2 linked regions of the Danio rerio genome follow. The protein of the gene in region 1 purifies or fractionates together with the protein of each later gene. This does not show direct contact. Links are inferred from orthologs where the notes say so. Each region holds a gene or a part of one and is shown on either strand. Other genes may lie near its edges.

Region 1 (12,702 bases):
GTGCCCGCTGACAGCTGGACGGCTGTTACCAGTTTGCCCAGTAGCTTGCCACGTACGCCGATGGACTTGGGCTGCATGGTTGAGTTGATCGCGACAACATAGTTTGAATTCAACAAAGAATGGTTGTAGAAACCAGGTAAAAAAAAGCCAAAAAATAAATAAAGATTCAACAGGCTGAAAATGTGGTGAAATCACACGACTGCGACCACTTTTCTTTTTCTAGATTGCTTTTGAAAACACTATCGGTTGGGTTTAGGGACAGGGGTGGGTGGGTCAGTCAGTCAGTCAGTCGACAGCAAGTTGGGCTGGCTGGTTGAAGTGTATATTGCGCCCTCTGGTGGATTCATGTGAGAAGAGGATGCTTAAAAGAAATTTGATATCATCAAATAGCAAACACAGCGACCTCCGGTGGATTTGCAAAAACAAAAACGGCAAACAGAAGTACCTCCAGGTATGTATTTCGCTGTCCCCAGAAATGTAGACCTGGGTACATTTCCGTAATGAGTCTGGGTTGAAAAAAATGGTGTGTATGAAAAAGCACATTCATCAAAATTAGAAAAAAAACTTTCAGATCCTCTACTTACAGGTGTTAACATGGTACCTGGTAAATTCCTTATGATCAGTAACTGCTTTTTCAAAAGAATGAAATACGTTTTTGCTTAAAGTAGGAAAAATAAATCTTCCAATTCTGAATAATGAAAAATGTATCATTTATGAATAAAAATCAAGTGTTTTTCAAGATTTTCTCCATTTCTGATCTGCTCTGTATATTTGTTTACACTTGCACACACACACACACACACACTCTTAATAGTTAATAGCAGAAATTTGTGTGAGAGTTTTTGACCTTGGAATGCTAACTTGTTTCTCTCTTGCTCTCCTCTTTACACAAAGACCTATTATGCAGTTCAGGACACAAAAGCCTTCAGCACAGCAGAGGAGGTGGACACGCTGCACGCCACCATAGAATGCGAACAACCCCAGCCAGACCTGTACAAGTGAGAAATAGGCTTCTATATCAGCAGCAAACACAAAAACAAACCCGCAGATTTTGCTTACAAATTCACAGTGTGTATAGAATTACTGCTGGACCGTCAAAACAGCATGAAACGCACTCCAGAGTGTGTTAACTACACACACACACACACACACACACACACACACACACACACACACACACACACACACACACACACACACACACACACACACACACACACACACACACATATTGACACAGAGCCCAGACCAGACATTCATTTCTGTCTTTTCTTCCTCTCCCGCTGTAGATTTGTGGGACGCATCAATATTTATTTGGATCGAGACGAGCCCATCGCGAGGTAAATCTATATTCAGGAAATTGACTCTTAATTAAAGGGCCAGTGTGTGAAAGATTGAATTCAAGAGGCACAATTTATCATTTTCATAGAACAGGTCTGTCTTCCAATTCGTATTCTTGCTAAAGCAATGCTTCCAACATTTCATTCTTTAATTAAAACATTTTTTGGTGCAGATATGTAAGTTATGCAAATGTATAAACATACAGTATATACCGTATTTAAAACTAATAAATAAATACAGTATTTTTATAATATATACACTCACCGGCCACTTTATTAGGTACACCTCACTAATAGGTGGTTGGGCCCCCTTTTGCATTCAGAACTGTCTTAATCCTTCGTGGCACAGATTTAACAAGGTATTAGAAATATTCCTCAGAGATTTTGGTCCATATTGACATGATAGCATCAAGCAGTTGCCTTTCTATCAGCTCAAACCAGTCTGGTCATTCTCATTTGACTTCTAGCATCAACAAGGCATTTGCATCCACAGAACTGACACTCATTGGATATTTTCTCTTTTTGGACCATTTTCTGTAAACCCTAGAGATAGTTGTGTGTGAAAATCCCAGTAGATCAGCGGTTTCTGAAATACTCACAGCAGCACATCTGGCACCAACAACCATGCACATTCAAAGTCACCTTAATCACCTTTCTTCCACATTTTAATGCTTGATTTAAGCTGCAGCAGATCATCTTGACTATGTCTGCATGTCTAAATGCATTGAGTTGCTGCCATGTGTTTGGCTGATTAGAAATTTGCATTAACGAGCAGTTGGACAGTTGTACCTAATAAAGTGGCCGGTGAGTGTATGTTCTATATAGCACAAAATTGTATATTTTCATTGTTTTTTTTAGCAATGGTTTTTTATTTTACATGTTACGATTTTTACCTATTTACCTTTCTTTTAATTTAAGGTAGTCTTTAAGTATAAATTTTCAGCACCAAAAAAAGAAAGTTATTATATGTGTAATTCTGAATTTGATATTGTTTGATTTTCTCAGACCTCTGGGTTCTGAGAATCTGCTGCTACGTGGAGCCACACTGAAAAACACAGAATACATACATGGTAAGAAAAAACATTTTGTATGTGTATACATGATATATAATGTATATTGTATAAATACCAGCATGATCTCACGAGGAAACGTAAGTATTTTACGTTTTGTCAGTTTAGTGGCTAATTTGTATGAGTGCAGTCATACGAAAATGTACGATTTTAAAAAGGAAAAAGGCGTGGCACCTAACCCCACCCCTAACGCCAACCATCATTGGGTGATGAGCAAATCGTACTAAACTGTACGAATTAGATTGTACTAATTCATACGAATTAGCCACTAAATCAAAAAGTTACGAATTGCCGTGAGATTGTGTTGTATACACTGAACAACGCACAATCCAGTTCAAGGCATATATTTAATCAGTTTTTGTATCGCTTTGGAAACCTAAACTTACTGATGACGCCAAGATCCATCACTATAATAACCTGATACAGCCTACAAGGTAGAGGCAAGAGAATAAGAGAAGAGAGTTGCTGATGGAGTCGTTCTGTCACTCTGTTCCCACTGTAATTAAATGAGTCACTCAGGCTTGTGAGATCAGAGAGAAGTTCGTAATTGCTGGAGAGAGAGAAAGAAAGAGAGAGAGAAAGAGAGAGAGAAAGAGAGATGAATGTCACATTATACACGTGAGGATTCAAGACCGGGGCAAGCTGAAAAAAATGTTGAACTGTTTCAGCTGAGCTGCTATGATCCGCTACAGAATAAAAAGAGCTGTGGTAAATAGAAGCAAAGAAGCTTGTGAAAAATGTCGTTATTGTTTAACCACAAAATGTCTCACTGAGAACAAGCAATTGCAAACACAAGAGTTTTTTGTCAAGATACAATTGTCTTTGTATACAGCTGAAGACCGAATTCCCCCACAATTTTTGTTTGATGGAAAGATTTTTTCAACACATTTCTAAACATAATAGTTTTAATAACTCATTTCTAATAATTTCAGATTTATTTTATCTTTGCCATGATGATAGTAAATAATATTTGACTAGATATTTTTAAAACTCTTCTATACAGCTTAAAGGGGCTAATTTGTACTTTAAGATTTATTTAAAATTTAAAACTGCTGTTTTTCTAGCCAAAATAAAACAAATAAGTCTTTTTTCAGAAGAAAAAATATTATCAGACATACTGTGAAAATTTCCTTTATCTGTTAAACATCATTTGGGATATATATATATATATATATATATATATATATATATATATATATATATATATATATATATATATATATATATATATATATATATATATATATATATATATATATATATATATATATATATATATATATATATATATATATAAAAACCAAAGGGGGGCTAATAATTCTGACTTGAACTGTATATTTTGCAGCCAGTTTAGATGTCATTTTATCCTCTCTGACTAAAAAGAAAAGTTTATCTGAGTCGTTTAGATCAAAGAATTGATTATTTAATGTTTCTCTCGGTCTTGCAGCTGTGCAAGTGCTGTCAGCTGTGAAGCCAAGCTAAAGTAAATCAGGCTTAAAATAAAAAAGTCATGAGAAAATGCATACAATTAAGGATGACTTTATAAAGTGAAACCAAAAGCCAAATCCTGGACATTTTCTGAGATTTAGAAACCCTGGATTGATGATTTTAAGTCCCAAAAAGGCACATCTCTGTGGGTCTCTGCAAAGCACGTGAAATAGTCCGGAGGAGTGTTTACAGTTCTCCCGCACACACAACGAGAAGTAGGAAACGTGCAGGCGGATCCAAAAAAAAAAGTGATAATAATAAAAAAAAATAAATGTCACCAAATATACTTGGGCGGCTGTTAATATACCTGGGCGCCCTTCCCAAGGCTGATTAACCTTAAAATGGTTTAAAAGAAAAAATGAAAACTGCTTTTATTCTAGCCGAAATAAAACAAGTAAAACTTTCTCCAGAAGAAAAAATATTATAGGAAATACTGTGAAAAATGCCCTGCTCTGTTAAACATCATTTGTGAAATAATTCTCTGGAGGGCAAATCATTTTGACTTTACCTGTATGTGCTATTTATGAATACATATGAGTGAAATATTTTTGAAGTACGTTCCTATTGATATTTTATATATATTTTAGCACACCACAGTGACTAGGAACAGAAGGTTGTTCAACCATGACCTCCTGTTTCACAGGGCTATAAATATGAAGAAATGCACAGTCCAAAAACTCACTCAGTCATTCATCACAGTGGAGAAGAGCAAAGTCAGAGCAGTGATTTGTGACAAAAGGTTGTTTGTTGACAAAATGAGAATATAGCTGTATGAAAGTAGGCTTTTGTGCCTGTGCTTTGCTACTGAATGCGTCACTTTGTGGTACCATCCCAAGGGGGCATTAAATCAATCGCAAGAAAGATTAACCTTTAATGTTGCGTCCTGCTGGAATGACTTGCCAAACTACATGATCAGTCTATGATCATTTTCAAGAGCACGTCATGATTTTGCCAAGCACAATGTGATCCTGTATTAACATCTGTGTTGATCCTGGAACATAATTTTTGTTGGAATATGTAATACATACCTATTCCCTTCCCCTAAACCCAACCATAACAGTAGATTATTCCCAAAATCAGAATAATAGTTGGATAACAATCACGTAGATATGGATGTAGTTCATAAACCTAATGGTAAGTTTAAACTGAACATAAACGGTAAACGTATCCCTTAAATCTGATCGGCTGATTGGAATGCTGTTCCAGGTTCAGCATGGATGTTAATCCATGAACATGTCATACTTGGGAAAATCTGGTTGGCGTTTTCAAGAAATGTCTAAAAACGGGTCTGTTTCATCAGTACTTGCTAACAACAGACTCTATTTTTATTTATTTACACCAGAAACTTTTAAATTACAGAATCTTTTCTTATAAACAATCCATATTTCTCTGAAAACATTGTCCAATTCTGAGTGTGCTTCATGCAGGTTAATGAGCTTGACAAACCACCCATAGGACACACTCTCTCCTCTCCGCGTGCACCAGACACTTTCTTATCAACAATCCACACTTCTGGAAACATTGTGCAGTTTTTACAACACATGTCACAACAAGATTCCCGAGACAAGCAATTTGACTCTCCGCACATGACGTGACACGACACAAACATTTAGATATCAAAATCCCAGTAGATCAGCAGTTTCTGAAATACTCAGACCAGCCCGTCTGGCACTAACAACCATGCCACGTACAAAGTCACTTAAATCGCCTTTCTTCCCCATTCTGATGCTCGGTTTGACTTGCAGCAGATCATCTTGACCGTGTCTCATATCTAAACGCATTAAGTTTAGCAATGTGATTGTCTGATTAAAAATTTGCGTTAACGAGCAGTTGGACAGGTGTACCTAATAAAGTGGCCGGTGGGTCAAAGATCAAAAAGTTAAATATTAAAGACATTTTTTCACAGTTTTCTTTCCTCATATTAACAAAGGGTGCCAACATTAGCAGAGGAAACTGTACACCTAAAAATAATTTAGCTGCTTGTTTAAAAAATTTAAATGAGCTGAAAAAAAAACAGCTCAATTAACATAAATTTGTTTAAACCATTAAGTTAAATTAATCGATTTGTGTTGAGACAACATGAAGGGATTGTGTGGAACCCAGCATTTATTACAGTGCATATAATGGTTTCTTTAATCATAACTAACTCTGTGGTTTCTTGTTTTTCTAGCTGTGGCCATTTACACGGGCATGGAAACCAAGATGGCCCTTAACTACCAGTCCAAGTCTCAGAAACGCTCCGCTGTTGAAAAGTAAGACACGATGATAGACGTTCGATCAGTTTATCTTGCTGTCAGCATGTACAGCGTAATGCATTTAGTGTCCTGTTTGTAAAGCAAATTGTGGGCCTCTGTATTTGATGTCACAAATGGTATCAAGTTGCGCTCACATGTGTTTCTGCGACAGACGGATAAATGCAGCCATTAGGCAAATACATCAGATCTCTATTTATTAAATAAACAAGTGTACTTTCAGAGATCTATTTTCAGAGTTTCAGATGTCATTGACTTTTTAAATCAAATAAATGTTGATTTCCTTTTTTAGCCCTTTAAACGGGTAGTTCGCCTAAAAATAACAAACAATAGTCATCGATTTTACATTTTTTGAGTTTCTTTTTACAATTAAACACAAAAGAGAATGCTTTTGAAGAATGTTGTATAGTTTTAGACTGACTTCCAAAGTATTTGTCCCTACTATGGATGTCAATAGCCACCTTTTAACATTCTACGAAATATCTTCTTTTGTGTTCTACAGATAAAAGCTCACAATAAGTTTTAATAATCTGAGGCTGAATAAGCATGAAGTAAATTGCCATTTTTGCTTGAAATTCCCATTTAATTTAAATATTTGAGATAGTATTTGGATGTTGACTTTACATTCCCTCTGGCCAAGTCACACTGGTTTAGGATACATGTCCAGAAAACATTAAGCATGATTTTGGGTGTTTCTCATCTGCTTGTTGTTTGCATTGCAGGTCTATGAACGCCTATCTGATTGTGTACCTCTGCATTCTGATCAGTAAAGCTCTGATCAATACTGTCCTGAAGTATGTCTGGCAGGCCGACCCGAACAGAGATGAGCCCTGGTACAACCAGAGGACTGAGTCTGAGAGGCAACGACATGTAGTATGTGCTATAAACAATGTCTTTTTTCTTCTTTTTATTATTATTATTATTATTATTATTATTATTATTATTATTATCAAGGACAACACATACACTTAATACACAAATACACTTAATTTATACATACACATGGACATCACCTACTGTATATGCTATATAATTGCAGGTTAACTATGTTTATAATAACTTTAACTGTTGAAAGCTATTAGTTACTAATTAGTTGGTTAAAGTTATTAGTAACTAATAAAGTTGTGGTAACTAATAACCTTAGTTATAATAATAATAATAATAATTTTTATTATTATTATTATTATAGGATAAATAAATAAATAAATAAATAAATAAATAAATAAACAAACAGATTTGGTAAATACAAAAAAAAATGTATTAACTAAAAAAATATATATACATTGTGTCGAAAATGCGACAACCCAAACATCCCATGTTGTTTTGTGTCCTCAGTTAATCCGGGCTTTCACAGACTTCCTGGCCTTCATGGTTCTGTTTAACTACATCATTCCTGTGTCTATGTACGTGACGGTGGAGATGCAGAAGTTCCTGGGCTCCTACTTTATCCTGTGGGACGACGACATGTTTGATGAGGAGGTTGGAGAAAGGCCGCTGGTCAATACCTCGGACCTCAATGAGGAGCTTGGACAGGTAGCAGACAATTTTAGCCCACTTTTAAACTGCTGTTTGGGTCACTGTTTGTTTACTATACTCAAAAAAATATTTGTTTTTGTTCGTTCAAACAACTTAATTCAAATGAGCTAAAACAACACAATTCTTTAGATTTCATGGGACAACTTAATTTTTTTAATGTTCAATCCAAAAAATTTTGTTAAGAGTCCTAAATTAACTTAATCAATTTGTGTTGGGTCAAGGTCCAGTCAACATCAATGAATTGCGTGGAACCCTGCATTTTTTACAGTGGATGGCACTTGTTTTTTTTACAGGTGGAATATGTGTTCACTGATAAGACAGGCACTTTGACAGAAAATAACATGGAGCTGAGGGAGTGTTGCGTGGATGGACATGTCTATGTGCCACATGCCATCTGTAATGGGCAGATCTTACCTGGAGCTGCTGGAATGGATATGATTGACTCCTCTCCAGGTGTAGAGGGAAAGGTGAGCTTCTTGTTTTGATTATAGCTGATTTAGTTTAGTGAGAGGGGTCTGGCTGCAGACCTGGTGCAGTGCAATCTGGGCTGCATCCAATGCTTTTTAATGGGCTCACCTAACCCCACCCCTAACCCTACCCGTCACTGTGACGTCACTAGCTCCATTTGAGTGCATTGTGTCTGACATTGCATCGCTGAGTGATGCAGTCTCAGCTTGCATCATAAAGGCTGCATCCAGATACTATTGAGTTTAGTTTAGCTTAGCTTAGCTTAGCATAGCTTAGTTTAGTTTAGTTTATATATTTTTAAAATTAAATTCAATTTAATTTTGTTTTTTGCTTTAATTAGATAAAAAAATATTGTTATTATTTAATTTAATTTTGTGTATTTAATTTAATTTAATTTAATTTAATTTAATTTAATTTAATTTTATTTTATTTTATTTTATTTTATTTTATTTTATTTTATTTTATTTTATTTTATTTTATTTTATTTTATTTTATTTTATTTAAGTTGTTCATTCATTCATTCATTTTCTTGTTGGCTTAGTTCCTTTATTAATTTAATTTAATTTAATTTTATATTTTTGGGCTTTAATTTAACTTAATTTAATTTAGCATTTTTAATTTTAAATTTAAATTTTATTTAATTTTATTTCTTTTTTTGCATTAATTTAATTTGGTTTTAAATCTTAGCTAATTAATTTTTTTTATTTAATTTTGTATTTATTTATTTTATTTAATTTTCATATTTTTTATTTAATCCAAAAAAGTCCAAAAAAGTATTTACTGTAAAATTAAAAACATAATTAAAATATGAAAACAATTGTCATGTAATTTTTTTTTCCCCAAATTTTTTACCATCTAGTCCCTAGGTAAAGTTTACCTTAAGTTTTCCTGTCATTATTCAATTTAATGAATCAGTTTGACCAAATGCATTTTCTCCCACAATAATAATATTATATTCATCAAAGTAAGAGATGAGAATGTGTGGTTATCGGTGACTAGTTATGTTTCAATGCACAGAAATTGTCTGATATTATCGACGGCAAGTTTTAGCATGAATATTTTAGCCATGGATGGATGGCGTGATGGATGGATTTTAATTTTATCTTTGATAAATCAGCTTTGTGACGACGTGACACATTAATTCTGAAGATTAACTAAAACATCTGTGAAAGAATTTGTTAACTCGTCTCACATCTCGACAGTTGCAGTTTTAAATGTGATCTCTTTGAATATCAGTCAGGAAATTAGATCGGCTCAGTTTGTCCATTCTAATGAGATCATTAGGCTGAAGTGTGTTCATAATACAATTAAACTTCAGAGTTGGTTGTTGTTTAGATTTGTAATGTATCAGATGCATCCAAATATTTACAGGATAAATGGGTATTGACTGCATGTTGTTCAGACACTGATAGCCTTTCTGTCTCCTGTTATCTCTTCGTCTTTGTCACTTAATCTGGCTTTGTTAGTCTATCTATCTTCCTTTCTGCTGGTGTGAGAGGAAACAGACAAATAATTCTTGTCCACTTAGTCGACTCACTTTTATTTTCAAAGATTTTATCGAGGGGCTAGAAATTCTGACTTTAACTGTATGTCAAGTTGTTATAACAAAAACATCTCAAACAATGTCATCTTTGCATTTAAAAAATGTCTAAACTGCACTTCATAAAGGTGTCATAAACATGCATACAATCTCCTTCATATTCGTGACCTGCTATGTCATGATTATAAAGGTGTCATGACAGTCTTGAGAACACCACCTTCCTGTTTTTTACTCAAAGTGATGGGAGTCATCGATTTACATTTCATGAATCACTGATGACCATTGTTTCAGCTAAATATCTTCCTTAACAAAATGTCAGCTACAATACATCATGGATGATTGAGGGTCAAAAGATTTTGATTTCTGGGTCAACTATCCCTTTAATGTCTTGATGTATTTTTGTTGAAAAAGATCTGCAGGAGTCGTTCCTCACAACTGCATGCGTTTTGCCTGTACAGGAGCGAGAGGAGCTGTTTTTTCGTGCGCTGTGCCTGTGCCACACTGTCCAGGTAAAGGAAGAGGAGACGGTCGACGGCATTAAGAGAGGAATACATCAGGGCAAAGCCACATCTTTCTATATCTCCTCTTCCCCAGACGAGGTTGCGCTGGTGGAGGGCATGAAAAGGCAAGATGAATGCATATATATTACACACACAGACACAAAACAGGGCCACCATATTGCACTTTAGACACTGTCCTTCAAGGTTTGAGATACAGAGTCTCACTTTGGATGACAGAGCAATTTTATATTTCATTTTCCTGCCAAAACAGTCAGAACGCGTCGTGTAAATTATTACTCTGATCTAAATAAACTATTGTCAATAAATCATAAACCATTGTTTCATACCCTCACACCTATTCACACACACATTTATCATGTTTTACATATAGCTATTATAGATACTATAACATAACCCTACCAGTATGCAGTTTTAACAATAAATCACTTATTTAATGCGTATGAATAATCTTTATTTATTTATATATTACGTGTAAATCAATACTCTGATCATAAAACTCATATTATCCCTTTAAGTGTGCTATTTTTATGGTTCCTACACGTTTTTGAGGTCTCCTACAATATACTATACACACTGTAGTATATACTGTATAGCTTTTTGAGCCATTTATAACACAATCATACAAATCTAGAATAAATAATGCTCAGCAACAATCATAAAGAAACTTGTTTTTCTTTCTCTCACCTGCTCAGATTGGGCTTCACCTACCTCCGTCTGAAGGACAGTCACATGGAGATCCTTAACAGAGAGGATGAGATGGAGAGGTGAGCCATCTGGACAACAGCATGAGCTCAATGACCAACAGGAAACTGTAGCAGCATTTGCAAGTCCATCAGTCTGTCCAAAAATCTTACTTTACACTATCCAAAAAAAAAACTTACATGCATTAATAGGTTAAATATACGTTTTTATGTGATGTATATTTTTACCTACAAAAAAGAAAAAAATGCTTCAAGAGTTAAGACCTAGCTTATGATTAGTAATTAGCTTGTTTGGCATGCTGTCCCGGCAGAGAGCCCTGAGCTTATAAGTGAAACCAAGGGATGTGACACTGACAACAGAGGTGAGGATCCACATGCAGGTTTATTAGAATGGTCAGGCAAGCAGGGGTCAATATGGGGGCAAACAGATGTATGAGGGCAATCCAGAGTCGGAGAATCAGTCCTTGAGCAGCTTCAGCTGTGCGATTGTAATCAGTAGAGATTTAGAGCAGGTGTGTGTGTGTGTGGCATGACTGAATATGTAGTCCATTTGCAAGCAGACTTGTAGTCTTATGTGTGTGAATGTTTACCAGCGACCTCTGGTGGTTAGATCGCTGGTTATCATGACAATAAGATCCTTGAGTCCTGGGCTCCCTCCCGTTAGCAGGGCAAGAGGGGAGTTTGAGCTCAGGTAGATCTTGATGAACTCCCCTGACTTATTTCTGGCTATCGACAGATATAGGGATTGCTAAGGAGAGATATACGGCATACTAAGAGCTTGACTTTGATGTCAATTTGGTCTGTTCTATTTACTTAGATTGTGTGTTTTTTGGAGAAACCTGGGGAAAACCCACGCAAGCATGGGGAGCGAACTCTGCACAGAAATGTCGACTGGCTTAGTAGGGACTTTAACCAGAGACATTCTTGCTGTGAGGCAACAGTGCTAATCACTGGGCCACCGTGTCGCCCATCTAATTACTAGGTGGGAGGAGAGATTCATCGAGATGAAGATACTGAGATAAGAAACTGCTTATTTATAGCGAATTAGAAATTATATGATTAGTGAATTAATCATAAGTTAATGCGGGACCAGCTGTGGACAATCATAAGCATGTGATCCTCTCGAAATTAGTTTATAAATAAACAGGGGATACAGGGGTTATAGGGTAACAAGAGTCAGCAAAGTGTGTGTGTGTGTGTGTGTGTGTGTGTGTGTGTGTGTGTGTATGTATTTGTGTGTGTGTGTAGTTGTGTTTGTGTGTGTGTTGTGTGTGTGTGTATGTATTTGTGTGTCTGTATTTGTGTGTGTGTGTGTGTGTGTGTGTGTGTGTGTGTGTGTGTGTGTGTGTGTTTGTGTGTGTGTGCGCTGTTTATGTGGTCCATCTGATTAGTCCATCATGAGGTTTTGTGTGTGTAATTATGGGTGATCTGGAACTGGTGTGTGTGTGAGGTGCCACATGGGAGATGTAGTGCAGTTCAGGGGCAGAATTGTAGTCCGGATCATATAGTAGATGTCTATAAGGGCTAGATCGCTGGTGTTCATGGCAGGGTAATTAGGATGCTTTAGAACTATTGGACTTTCTGGAAGGGTATAGAATTTTGGATTTTCCTATTGACTGTGACAGTTTGCAAAGGGTATGAATAATTTTGCCTCTTTTTTTATTAAATGTAAATAAAAGCTGAGAAGGACATTTTTCCTCACAATGATGCCTCTTGCACATCATCTTATTATCTTTTGGAAGTCAATTTCATTAAATAAAACTTTCTGGTTGAATAAAAGTAACTT
Region 2 (13,443 bases), on another chromosome or scaffold:
TGTCCCTTAATCAGGTGATCCCAGATATTCAGAACAAAGAGGAAACATTGCAGATCTGCATTGATCCATCCGAGGACTCGACCAAAGAAGCTTCTGTTAAACCAACCCAAGAATTTCAGACAACCGCCATTCCAACAATTGAACGAATCAAGGAGAATCCAAAGAATCCAGAAAGAGTTCGATCTCCATTGACCTTTGCTGCCATCTCAAGAGCCAAGAGTGCAGAGATCACGAGGTCTCCCTCTACCGACAGACCCTTATCTTCAGTTTCAGTCGCATCCAACAGCAGCTCCCAGGAGTCTGTGGACATGATAACAGGCAGAGCTGTGTTCAAGGAAACTCCTGAGAAACGAATGGTCCCCACACCCATCAAGAAGTCCAATGCTAATGTTGTTACCACAGAAGACAGCAAGATTCACATCCACTTAGGATCACAGTTCAAGAAGATCATTGATCATGGCTCGGTCGTCATGGTCAAATCTATTTCTGGTTCATCCGAGGGTAAGGATGTTCCTACTGGAACTGTGCTACGCTCGCCACACAATGTGACTCCAAGCAAATCAATAACCAGCAAAGTGATGAGCAGCATCGCCATCACACAGGTCACTAAAGCACCAGCCAGACCTACACTTTCAGTGGTAGGTGCAACATTTACATATTATGGATAATCACAAAAAAATTTTCTTTGTAAAATAAAAATATTTTGTTGTCATGTTTACTGTCACGGATTTCATAATATGATTGAAATGGTAAAATCCCTAGTAAGGCTCCATCCCTCTTTACAAGTGTGTTAAATTAAATTAATGAGGTTAAACAAAGAACATAAAGTCACTGTGCTGTCAGCATGATGATGTGGGCTGGACATTTGTGTTTCACAGGTCTCTCTAGTTCTCCTGATTTAAATGAGAATAGAGCACGGGTGTCAAACTCAGTTCCTGGAGGGCAGCAGCTTTGCACAGTTTAGTTCCAACCTGACAATAGACTCAGGTAAGTAGGATCAGGTGTGTGTAATTAGGGTTGGAACTAAACTGTGCAGAGTTGCGGCCCTCCAGAAACTGAGTTTGACACCTGTGGAATAAAGCTACTTTAAAATGTACATCCACACTTGTTGTTTCTTTAAACCAATGAGTGTAAAAAATATGGACGACGCGACAGCCCCTTTTCCCATTAAACGCCTTGAGGGCAAAATGCCTGCTTGACGGGCACAAACTGTCGCAAAAGACTGCTGAAATTGGAGCCTTGACATGCGCAAAAGGACTGTCTGATGGAGCCAGAGGAGGAGCCGCGAAAATGAGCTTCCAACCAAACGCTTTATGTAAAATCAACCACGTCCCCCGAACTTCTCAGCATGCGTTTGCTGTCATATCAACACAAATGGATGTAATAACGTTAACAAATATGAGGGTTTTATATATTCAATCGCGCCAGCTCCGGGCCGCAGCGCATAACATACTCGCGGCGTCGCGGGTTGATTCCGGCTCGCATGCGGCAGCGCCGGCTCGCTCGGCCGCCGCATCTGGCTCGATTGACTCGGGCTGGAATCGGGCAGTGAGTCCAGGCATCCGGAGTATGTCCAGCAGAGGTAGTCAGTCTGAGCTCTGAGGAGTAAGTCTCCGGCAGGCGAGAATCTAGCCTGAACTGGCCCGAGTGTATTTTGCTATCTGGGTGGTTAGGCGTGTATCAGCAAACTTATAAAGCTAGAAAAAAGCCCTGACCTTAAAGAATAAACAGTGTTCCACCAGAATCATGTATGTCAGAAACTGTAGTTTACTGCTGAACTCATTTTGTCATGGTAAAATAACACAGAAATCGAATAATAACACTTCAGTCTCCTGCCGAAGCTCAGATGCGCTGCTTTGAGAAACTGTCAATCACAGCTGTCAATCACGATGACACGCCCAGCATTAAATTAATGCTAAAAACAAATTTTTTACAAAAATGAAGATCTGCAGCTATTTCAGCACTATAACCAGTGCCTTAATCCACCAGAACCATCTTTCGGGACATTTTATTGCAAGTGTAAAACATTTTTTATTTGGGCTCAAGTCTCCTTCATTAACACGGAGGAGGCGGGCTTTATGACTTGTACTGCAGCCAGCCCCCAGGGGGCGATCTAACGGCCGAGACCTTCACTCAAACGCAGGCTTGCGGCACACTTGCTTTAAACCAGTTGAAAGCGAATGATCTGAATCAGGTGTAAGGAAGACATACAAAATGTACAGGCCCAAGGACCAGAATTAAAAACCACTGTTTTAAACTATCTTTAAACTAAAATGTTGCACATCTTGAGCAAGTCTGCTGTGAACGCAACAGTTCCTGTTGTTTAAAACATGTATCGTGATTCTTTTAACATCCCTGCCAATTTGAATCGTCACATCTTTGAAGCAAGTTAGTAACTATTTGATTTTGTGGCTAATTTTGTATTAGTTCGTACAATCTCATTTAGACATTTCACTATGATTTGCTGATCCTCCAATGAGGGGTAGGCTAGGGGATGGAGATTGGGTTAGCTAATAACAAAAATCAGGGTTAGGGGTAAGGCCTGTTGGCATGCCTCCTTTTAAAATTGTATGTTTTTATATAAATAAAATCATATGAATTTGTTACGAAATAGTCTTTTTTTTTCTGACAATTCATAAAAGAACTACATTTCCTCAAGATTGGGCTGGCTAAAAAACAAAAAATAAGGGATAGAGTTAAGAATGGGGTTTGTTGACATGCCTCTTTTTAAAAATTTGTACATTTTTATATGAATAGAATTGTATGAATTCATATGAAATAACACGTTTTCTCTAGGTACGTACATTTCCTTGAAATTGGGCTGGCTAAAAAAACAAAAAGGCCTTGCATCTCATTAAATCATGCTACTTGTTTTTCTGGTTCTCAACAGCAGCCAGTCCTGGATGTCCCATCAGCACGATCAGGGTTCAGTCGTATCCCGATGTCTCGGGGCATGAAAACCGGAAAAGCTGTGCTGGGAGCTTTGGGACTCACCACAGGAGCCAAATCAGAAACAAATGCGGAGGCCATTCACACTGACCTGAAAAAATCAGCTGTTAGTAATGGAGCCTTACAGGCCGGAGGGAAGGGCTGAGACGGAGAGTACCACACAAACAAGATCCACAGATGCATTTTACTCTACTGCCAAAGAAAATTCATGATTGTGAAATTATTATGTGTGGCAGAGATTTAAGGGAGGACTTTTTTTTTTACATAGGAGAGGAAACATGAGTTGGCGGTTCATTCCGCTGTGGCGACCCCAGATTAATAAAGGGACTAAGCCGACAAGAAAATGAATGAGTTTTTCTATAGATGCTTTACAGATTATCATTATACATTGATGTATGTGTTTGTATATATATGTATTTTCCATTTTTTTTCTCTCTCTCTCTTTTTCCCATATATGCTAGTGGGTGTTTGTGTATCTATGCCGAATTTATGATGATAGTAGACTTTGCTTAAATTATTTGAGTGCCATTTGAGATGTTTAAATGAGTCATGTGACCGTAGTACTCAAAGGAGACTCTAGACGCACCTGATCACTGTTGCCCTGATGAAGGCAGACTCCTGCCGAAACGCGTAGGTTTTTGGAGATTTAGCCATGTGAATAAAGGCTTTTTAATTTTTCACTAATTTCGAGTGCCTTGGACTGATTCTTGTTGCTGTTTTGATGAATCCCTTACCCAAAGAGCACCGACCATACATTTGAGCTTACCCCAGAGCGCTTTTTGTTTGTTTTTTCAGGAAAGGAAACATGTTGCCTTGGTCTATAGATAGTTATGACACACCAGAAATTAGCATAACTTGTTTTAGTTAAATAAATGTAATAGGATTTTTCTATTGGTTTTGTATTGCCAAAAATAGGCTCTTTGACTAGTTTAAGATTCATACGTTTTGTGTTTGTGTTTTACACAGTCTTCGTAAATTAATCATGAATTTTATATCTTAAAGGCACAGTTCACCCAAAAATAAAAATTCTGCCATTTGTTCAACACCTGCTTGAGTTTCTTACTTCTGTTGAACATAAAGGAAAATATACTGAAGAAAACAGCCTTTGACTTCTATTTCTTTTCCCAGCTTTCGTTAGAATATTTTATTTTGAGTTCAACAGTAGAAACAAACTCATAAATGTTTAGAACCACTTAAGTCTGAGTAAATGAGGAGGACATTTTTATTTCTGCATTTATAAACTGCATTTGAGGCTATAAAATTAAATTCAATTAAAAAACCCAACTGACTTCAAGAAAAAATGTTATGTTGTTTATGGGTTTTAGCCTACAAAAAATACATCATCCCTGTCACATGTGTAATAATTAATATAGTCATGATCTATTAACGCTGCCTTACACAAATCAGGATTTCAAGAGTTCACACTTAGCTGATGATTAATTATACAAGCTTGTTTGGCATGCTGTCCCGGGAGAGAGCCCTGAGCTCAGGAGATCCTCGAGCCCAGGGCTCCCTCCCGTTGCAAGGCGGGAGGGGAGTTTGAGCTCAGGTAGATCTCGAGAACTCCTCTGCTGTAGTAACCAATGAACAGTAAGTGATTGCTCTTGAAGATAACTCCGTACTAGAAGCATATCTATAGTGCCAATTTAGAGTATTCAATTAACTTAATTGCATGTTTTTAGGCGGTGGGAGGAAACCGGGGAACCCGGGGAAAACCCCCGTGAGCACGGGGAGAAGTGCAAACTCCACACAGAAATGTCTGCTGGTTTGGTAAAGCCTGGAACCAGAGACATTCTTGCTGTGAGGCGACAGTGCTACGCACTGGGCCGCCGTATCACCCGTCTAAGAAGGAGGAGTAGGGGAGGAAGGGGGGACTCTTCAAAACAAAGATAGCATTGGAATGAAACCCAGGGTATTTATAGTAGTTTAGGAGTCATCTGATTGGAGTGTAGTGAATTGGATAATGCAGATCCAGCTGCTAGCAATCATAAGCACGTGATCCTCTCGAAATTTGTTTATACATAAACTTCACTTATTAACAATAAACACCAAGTTGACAAGTTAGTAGGTTAAAGGATTAGATCACCCAAAAATGAAAAAAATATTATTTATTACTCTTACTGTATGAATATATGCCATAATATTTCTTTATACCGTAATACAAGTTTTATCAGGGTTTTTTAGACTCGTTGGAAGTTTCTCAAATAGTGTTTTTGATGCCACAGCTCATGTAATTGCAGAATAATCACATTTGTAGAGTTTAGGTGTGTACACAATCAACATTGATGAGGAAAGATGTCAACACAGAGCTCATCATGGGTGAGGTGAGCTCAACAGATGAGCGCTCTGATCTCTTCTGCTGTTATTATGTTTTGAAAAAATAAATTGTTTTTGGTAAAAGACTGTATATCATGTTTATTTTAGAAATGATACCTACTAAATGATGTATTTTAATACTTTTGTTTATGATTATATTTAACGAAGGAATGTACATGATTTCAGACCAAAGGTTTTCTGTTTGTGATACTTCTGTTGTGATTCTCTCCGATAAGTACAGTCTGTTTTTATTGTTGTTTCTAAGTAAAATGATTGAGAGGGTGCTCGCTGCAGAGCCATTTAAGGAGAGCTGAGCTCCAGCGAGGGGGAGCATGAGCTGTCGCTCCTCCTCCTGTAAGCTGTTTTAATGCGTACACCAACCCCACCCCTAACCCTACCCCCAGTGACATCACTCGTAGAAGAAGTGCAAAAAAGGTGGAGCTCAAGCTTAAGCTCCCCCTCGCTGGAGCTCAGCTCTCCTCAAATGGCTCTGCAGCGAGCACCACTTGAAATGATTTGCTTTTATGTGTCAAAAATATGTTTTTTTTGTCAATTTATTATGCAATTCAAATGATGTGTATACATACATTAAATTATTATTTCTTTTAACAGTATAAGTAGGGCAAGGGGTAGCGCTATCATCTCACAGCAAGAAGGTTGCCTGTTTAAGCCTCGACTGGGTCATCATGGGTCCATATGTGTGAATGAGAACGTATGGGTGTTTCTCAGTGATGGGTTGCACCTGGAAGGGCATCCGCTGCATAAAACATATGCTGGATAAGTTGGCGGTTCATTCCACTGTGGCAACCCGTGAGTAATTAAGCCAAAGACTAAGCCCAAAAGAAATTAATGAATTTATAATATATATATATATATATATATATATGTAATATTATATATATATATATATATATATATATATATATATATATATATATATATATATATATATATATATATATACAGTATATATATATATATATATATATATATATATATATATATATATATATATATATATATATATGTATATGTGTGTATGTGAGCAATATCACACGAGTAGCAGTGCGATATGGTTGTATATCAGCACTGGTGGGAGGTGTGCCTCAATGTCCCACCAGTAACGATATACAGCCATATCGCACTGCTACAAGTGTGATATTGTGTCCAACAGTTCAACGACATAACGACGTGTATATATAAAAAAAAAATCAAACGCAGAGAGTCTCAAAAGTGTGATATGTGATATAAAGTGAGTCTCAGAATGTGCATTAAATAACATTTTTCCACGCAGACATCCCAAGTCTCCCGGAAGTTCCAGGAGTCTCCCGCAAATGCACAGAGACTCCCGGATGCCTGCAAGCGAGTTATAATCTCTTGAAAATCGCGGGTCTCCCTCCCGGTCCTCAAATACGTTGCGCACCCTTCTTACTGCATCCCTCCTTGCTCTTCAGACACATCCTGTTAAACACCACCAACACCCGATCTTCAGATATTTTTACGTAGCATAACTCCCGCAAACTCCGACAAATCATCAGTCTTGCCCGGGAATGACTATTCTCAACTTTGGATGTCTGTCCATGCCATGTCTTAAAAATATGAACATTTTTTTTTACGCCAGATTATTCAAAGGAGCTTTTGTACTAGCCTGCTGATCCTGACAGCTTGTGCTGGTAAACGGTCTTTCATCTCATTTTATGCTTGACCGATTAAATGTCTGTTTAATTTAATAAGTCTGTTTAACTGACTATATTTTAAAAACATTAAAACATCGATGCTGTAAAAGAAAAAAAACATATAAAATTGTACAAGCCACATTAACTGTTCACCAGACGTTTAATAATATGGGAAGAAACGCTCGCTGCTGTGCATATACCCCATTGTTCACCTAAAGAATAACAATGTGCGCTAGCAAAATGAGCATTGTAAATTTTGATTTCACCTGGACTTTAAATAAAAATTACATTTTGTATTTTCTCCAGCAAGATACAAAGGATGAACTACCTATTTAGTTATTGAATGCATATTAAACACGTTTAAATTAAAATACTGCTCATCTCTGCATCACTGATTTTCTATTTCAGAAACAAACAGGAACATGCAAACAACAGCAATAATAATAATAAAGACACAAATGCATACCAAACATATTAAAATACCGGTAAAAGAGCATAGCATACTGTATTAAGAGATTATCAGGGGAATAAAAACAGTTGTTTTTATTCCTTAGTCGTCATGTGATGCCGTCACAGCGTCGCTGCAAGTCTATTGGCTGCAGCACTTCCTTGTTTATCGCCTTGTCCACATCCTACTAAGCGCTACGGAAATAATCTCCATCGTTTAATGGCGCGGTCATTGTACCATCAAAACCATCGATAGCGGCGATATAACACACGCTGTACCCAACCAAGGACATACATTTGAAGTTGTGCTCGTCTTTGAAGGATTAAAGCGCGATGATGGCGTCCAGCTATAACGCGAAGGAGGAGGACGGTCATCATCCGGGATTGGTGGGCTCCGGCGGCCCGGGCGCCGTCAAGAGCAAGAAGCCGGACAACACGGCCTTTAAACAGCAGCGTTTGCCCGCCTGGCAGCCCATCCTGACAGCAGGCACCGTCCTGCCTGCCTTCTTCATGATCGGACTCATCTTCATCCCCATCGGCATCGGACTCTTCGTCACCTCCAATAACATCAAAGAGTTTGAAGTGCGCAACTTCACCATAGTACCGTCAGGGCTGTGCAGTATGACAATATAAAATGTCTATCTATTCATATTCTATCGTTAAAATAGTTAGTTCACAGCAAAATTGACAAGCAAAAATCATTATTTACTCACCCGTTGCTTGTTTTTAACCTTTGTGAGTTTCCTTCAAATGTCGAACACAAAAGAAGATAGCTCGAAGAAAGCTAAAAACCTGTAACCATTATTAAGGATAGAAGTAAAGTTTCGGATTTTCAGACATTCCCCTTAATAATATCATTTCAGAAAAGTATTCATTGCAAATTTTAAATAGGGAAATCATATTAGCAGCAAATGACTTTCAAAGTACAACATTGTTCACAGTCAAATAAACAGTGTTAATGTTGTTTTCAAGTCACACTTGCATGCTAATTCAGATCGGATATTTAAAGTAACATAGTAAACAATATATAGACTGCTAAATGAACGAATGTGTGAATATAAAACCAACTTTACCTCTATTTATTAAGGTAAGGTCTTATATTCGCACATTCGTTCAGTGACAACTTGTGACTCGCTCCCTATATTGTTTACTATCATATTTTGTATACATTAAGGGAAATTTGGTTTTATATTTACGCATTGGGACTTATTATAATTTCAGAAAGAATTCTTTGCTCTAAATAAATAAATAGTGAAATCATGTTAGCAGCCAGTGACTATCAAAAGTACATCATTGTTAACAGTCAAATAAATAGTGCTAATATTGTCTTGATGCCGTACATGCATGCAATTTCAGATCAAATATTCAAAATACCATGGTAAAAAAAAATTAGAGAATATTACACAAGTCACTGAACGAGTGTGTGAATATACAACCAACTTTACCTTAATTTTTTTATATTTGATTTAAAATCACACGTAAGTATGAGTTTCAAATAACATTAGCACTATTTGTTTGACTGAACAATGATAGAAGTAAAGTTGGTTTTATATTCACACATTCTCATTAATAATAAAGTCTCAGAAAAGTATTAATTGGAAATTGTAAATAGCAAAATCATATTAGCAGCCAGCAACCATCAAAGTACAGCATTGTTCACAGTTGATTAAATAGTGCTAATGTTGTTTTGAAGTCATGTGATTTCAGTCCGGATATTCAAAGTACCATGGTAAACAATGTATGGAGCTGTCAATGAATGAATGTGTGAATATAAAACCAACTTTACCTTTATTGAACAATGTTGCAGTTTGATAGTCACTAGCTGCTACTGTGATTTTACTATATAGAATAAGCAAATATTTCTTTTTGAAATTATATTGTTAGGGAGAAAGTATGAATGTGTGATTATAAAACCAGCGTTACCTCAATGTAACCATTGTCTTCCATAGTAGGGAAAGTGATAATGTGTATGTCAATGGTTACAGGTTTTCTTTTGATTTGTGCTCAACAGAAGAAAGAAACTCAAAGTTTTAAACGTATATAGGGTGAGTAAATGATGACAAGAATTAGCATTTTTGGGTGAACTATACCCTTAATATTGTATTGTTACAAAATTTATTGTTTAATACTTTTCATAATTTTATATAAGCGTAATATTATACGCCATTATGAGGATAAAGACAGAAACATATTTACATTTTATTTAGCAATATTTTATGCTCAGCCTATAAATCATTAGTTTATGAATTTTTTTTCTAAATTTCATTAATATTTAATTATAATTAGAAACAAATACACTGAAGTTTTAATCTGATCACATATTAATGAGTAGATTTTTGAGTAAATACTTAGGAATTTACAGAAAATTATATATATATATATATATATATATATATATATATATATATATATATATATATATATATATATATATATATATATATAGGCAAGACAGTGGCGCAGTAGGTAGTGCTGTCGCCTCACAGCAAGAGTCGCTGGGTCGCTGGTTCGACAGTTGGCGTTTCTGTGTGGAGTTTGCATGTTCTCCCTGCCTTCGCGTGGGTTTCTTCCGGGTGCTCCATTTTCCCCCACAGTCCAAAGACATGTGTTACAGGTGAATTTGGTAGGCTAAATTGTCTGTAGTGTATGAGTGTGTGTGTGGATGTTTCCCAGGGATGGGTTGCGGCTGGAAGGGCATTCGCTGCGTAAAAACTTGCTGGATAAGTTTTCGGTTCATTCTGCTGTGGCAACCCTGGATTAATAAAGGGACTAAGCCGACAAGAAAATGAATGAATGAATTATATATATATATATATATATATATATATATATATATATATGTCATATTGCACAGCCCTACAACATAAAATAGTAGCATCGTGAATAGTAGTTTGATGTTATTGTGTAACTTGTGCTGTTGTTGTTTGTGTTGTAGATCGACTACACTGGTGTCGACATGTCCAGTCCGTGTTACAACTGTGCACAGAACTACAGCTGGAACAGCACTAGTGTGTGCACTTGCACTGTTCCCTTCACACTAGACCAGCCTTTCGAGGTAAACACACTTTACACTGCTAGACCTACATCATATTTGTGTGTTTCTGTGTTTTATTTTCTAGATCTGAAGTTTTTTTTGCTGCGATGTTGCGGAAATAGAAACTGTTTCTAAATTAGAAATTTCGCAGTCGCAGATGGTTAAAATAGAAACTCCTTTTAACTTGAAAGAGACATATTTTATTGCGTGTTAGGACACTGTGTTACACTTCAGAAAATGTTTTTCTTTTTAAAAATCAAAGATCTAAAATTTAAATAAAATATAATAATCTAGAAAGCATTTTCTAGACAAGTAAAAAATTATTTTTTTTTGTTTTTAAAGAAATAAGTCAAAATAAAGTTAGTTTTTCCTTAAAACAAGCTAAATAATCTGCCAATGCGTTAAGTTAAATAATCATGTTTTTTTGGTATGAAATAAGTTTATCTTACTTAATTTATATATATATATACATATATATATATATATATATATATATATATATATATATATATATATATATATATATATATATATATATATATATATATATATATATGGTTAAAAAAAGATCACTTTAGCAGGTTTAATCAAAAAGATACTTAATGCATTGCTTAATTATCTATACATTATCTATAAATCGAACAAATGTTTTAAACAAATTAATTAGCAAAAGAATAACTGCAGGATTACAATAGAATTTTATTAGTTATTAACTCCATTTAATAAAACGGTTACAACTTTTAAACCAGTGTACTATAGATTTTACTGCAGTAAACTGGTCTATTGTTGTTTATTACACCCTATGAAGTTGTAAAAATTGTACTACAATATTCATTTGTTTCTGTTATTAGTTGTTGTATTACCAGCAACTTACTACAACAAATGAATTCAACTACTTTACTATAGTATGATTCAAAAACACTATGTATTTTACCACAGAAATTGTTTTAATGTGAGTGACCTTTTATAAAGAAAACTGAGTAGCTAAATTATGAACTATATTCAGTTGTTGTCTACAAATTACATAAAAAAAAACAGATAACACATTTATGGAAATGTAATCTGACTACATTTGGATTACATTTAGATTACTTTTGTGCTTGCAGTTTGTTGAAAAATATGTTCATTTTGTCAGCAGCAAAAGCCTTAACAGATGAATACTTCACAATACTAACAATAATATACCTCTCTGTTTGTTTATGATTATAGTAACACAGGATAATACGAAGTCACATTTTCTGAGTTTGAAAGATTTACTTATATTAAAGCACATTTAGAAATCAACATCATTGTCACTGCTACATCAGTTATTTCATTAACAAAAACCTATAAATGCATATGAAGGTATCAATGAAAAGCATAGCAAGCGTGAACTAATTTAGAGATATATTTAACTCTAGCTCCATTATGTTGTATATTTGCTTTGTCTGCTAACCGTTGGATGGTCAAACAAATCACCTAAAGTGCCATTAGCTCTCATGTATTATGCATTAGTATATTTAGAGGACGTTTTATTGATCGCACCTTTTAATATGTTAAAAATAGAATTGTTTTCCGCTCTTGTTATAACAGAGATCAGTTCAGATGATCTATAAACAACACTGAAGTAGCCTCAGTATAAAAGATTTTATGGCTGGTGACTGGATGTTATTTTAACCTCTAACTTCTTTTTTTTTTGTAGAGTAATGTTTTCATGTATTACGGACTCTCCAACTTCTATCAAAACCACAGACGTTATGTCAAATCCAGAGATGACAGTCAGCTGAATGGAGACAAAAGCTCTTTACTGGTGAGTGTTTCGACATATGCTGACTAAATGTTTGACTTTGACTTTAGTATATTATATTTAATTTTGTTTTGTGTAAACTTATAGTTTAATATTGGTGCATTTTGTGAGATCTGATGGTATGGAAATGCTTGAGGCCCAAAAGAGAAGTGGTAACAACAGCCAGTAAGTTGTTGGGAACAAAACTAAAGAGTATACTGGTAGTGTATACAAAGAAAGAGCATTACAAAAGGCTATCATGATTGTCAATGAAAGCCTTATTATATATATATTATATATATATATTTGGTGACGCGACTGACGTGACATGCTTTTCCGCTCAGAGTTTACTTTTGTTTAATTGTCGTTTGCATATTGCAAATATGTGTAATTAGTGTAAACATGGCCCTAGCAAGCATACTTACTGAATTGTTGAATCGAGTTTGTACGTTGTCTTCAAGTGTTTAAATCTTTTGTTTTACAGAATCCGAGTAAAGAGTGTGAACCGTATCGAACAAGTGACAGGAAGCCCATTGCTCCTTGCGGCGCCATTGCTAACAGTCTCTTCAACGGTAAGACTGAAGGCTCATAATACTAATAACCCAGAGGAGTAGCGGACTGGCCCGCAGGGCACGCTCCGTGGGGGGGCCCCGCGTGATTAGGGGGCCCCACGTTGTCGCGAAAATCCGGCAACCTCAATAATCAAACTCTTGAAAACAACTGTGGTCGGAACCAATGTTCACAGGTCTGTGTTCTCTGAACTCCTCTCAACCGGTGGACTACTTCATTATGATTGCCGCCGAACCGAGTCAAGCTCGGTCATAGCTCATACCATAAAGTTGACTTGATTTCAACTCTCCTCGACACTCACACAGGTGAAGACGCGCCGCGATGTTTTTCACCGCCGTTTCTCATTGAAAATGAATCACTTCTGGCTACTTTGACGCTCTCGCCGTTTTCGGTTTGTGATCGCTCCTCAGTTTGTGAAGGCTTCCCTGTGTTGTCGCCCCCCCCCCTTTCCCGCTCTTTAGTTTGTGATCGCTTCTCAGTTTGTGATCGCTCCTCAGTTTGTGAAGGCTTCCCCGCGTTGTCGCTCCACCCCGCCTTCCTTCCCTGCTCCTCAATTTGTGATTACTTCCCCGCGTTGCCCCCCAACCAACACCTCTCCAACTGGGGGCCCCGTCAGTGATCCCTGCAGGGGGGCCTCCCCATTTTGCGCTACGCCACTGTAATAACCTTAATGATACTTAGTGCCT

Evidence for each region.
Region 2: the proteins of atp11a (region 1) and tmem30aa purify together in Homo sapiens (co-immunoprecipitation; 4 studies listed by BioGRID and IntAct, with this or other methods). This does not show direct contact. The link is inferred for Danio rerio from reciprocal best matches to the Homo sapiens genes ATP11A and TMEM30A.

Annotation. Positions count from the first base shown.
Region 1 is NC_133176.1:49,630,256-49,642,957, reverse strand, and holds part of atp11a (phospholipid-transporting ATPase IH), read left to right. Parts: intron 1-894; coding exon 895-998; intron 999-1,289; coding exon 1,290-1,340; intron 1,341-2,345; coding exon 2,346-2,410; intron 2,411-6,068; coding exon 6,069-6,150; intron 6,151-6,872; coding exon 6,873-7,023; intron 7,024-7,485; coding exon 7,486-7,683; intron 7,684-7,979; coding exon 7,980-8,153; intron 8,154-10,152; coding exon 10,153-10,319; intron 10,320-10,907; coding exon 10,908-10,979; intron 10,980-12,702. UniProt on the Homo sapiens protein: Catalytic component of a P4-ATPase flippase complex which catalyzes the hydrolysis of ATP coupled to the transport of aminophospholipids, phosphatidylserines (PS) and phosphatidylethanolamines (PE), from the outer to the inner leaflet of the plasma membrane.
Region 2 is NC_133192.1:56,064,054-56,077,496, reverse strand, and holds the start of tmem30aa (transmembrane protein 30Aa), read left to right. Parts: upstream 1-7,535; 5' UTR 7,536-7,721; coding exon 7,722-7,970; intron 7,971-10,323; coding exon 10,324-10,443; intron 10,444-12,103; coding exon 12,104-12,211; intron 12,212-12,671; coding exon 12,672-12,759; exon of another isoform or gene 12,760-13,062; intron 13,063-13,254; exon of another isoform or gene 13,255-13,443. Other genes in the region: filip1a (filamin A interacting protein 1a), read left to right, coding at 1-638, 2,891-3,094. UniProt on the Homo sapiens protein: Accessory component of a P4-ATPase flippase complex which catalyzes the hydrolysis of ATP coupled to the transport of aminophospholipids from the outer to the inner leaflet of various membranes and ensures the maintenance of asymmetric distribution of phospholipids.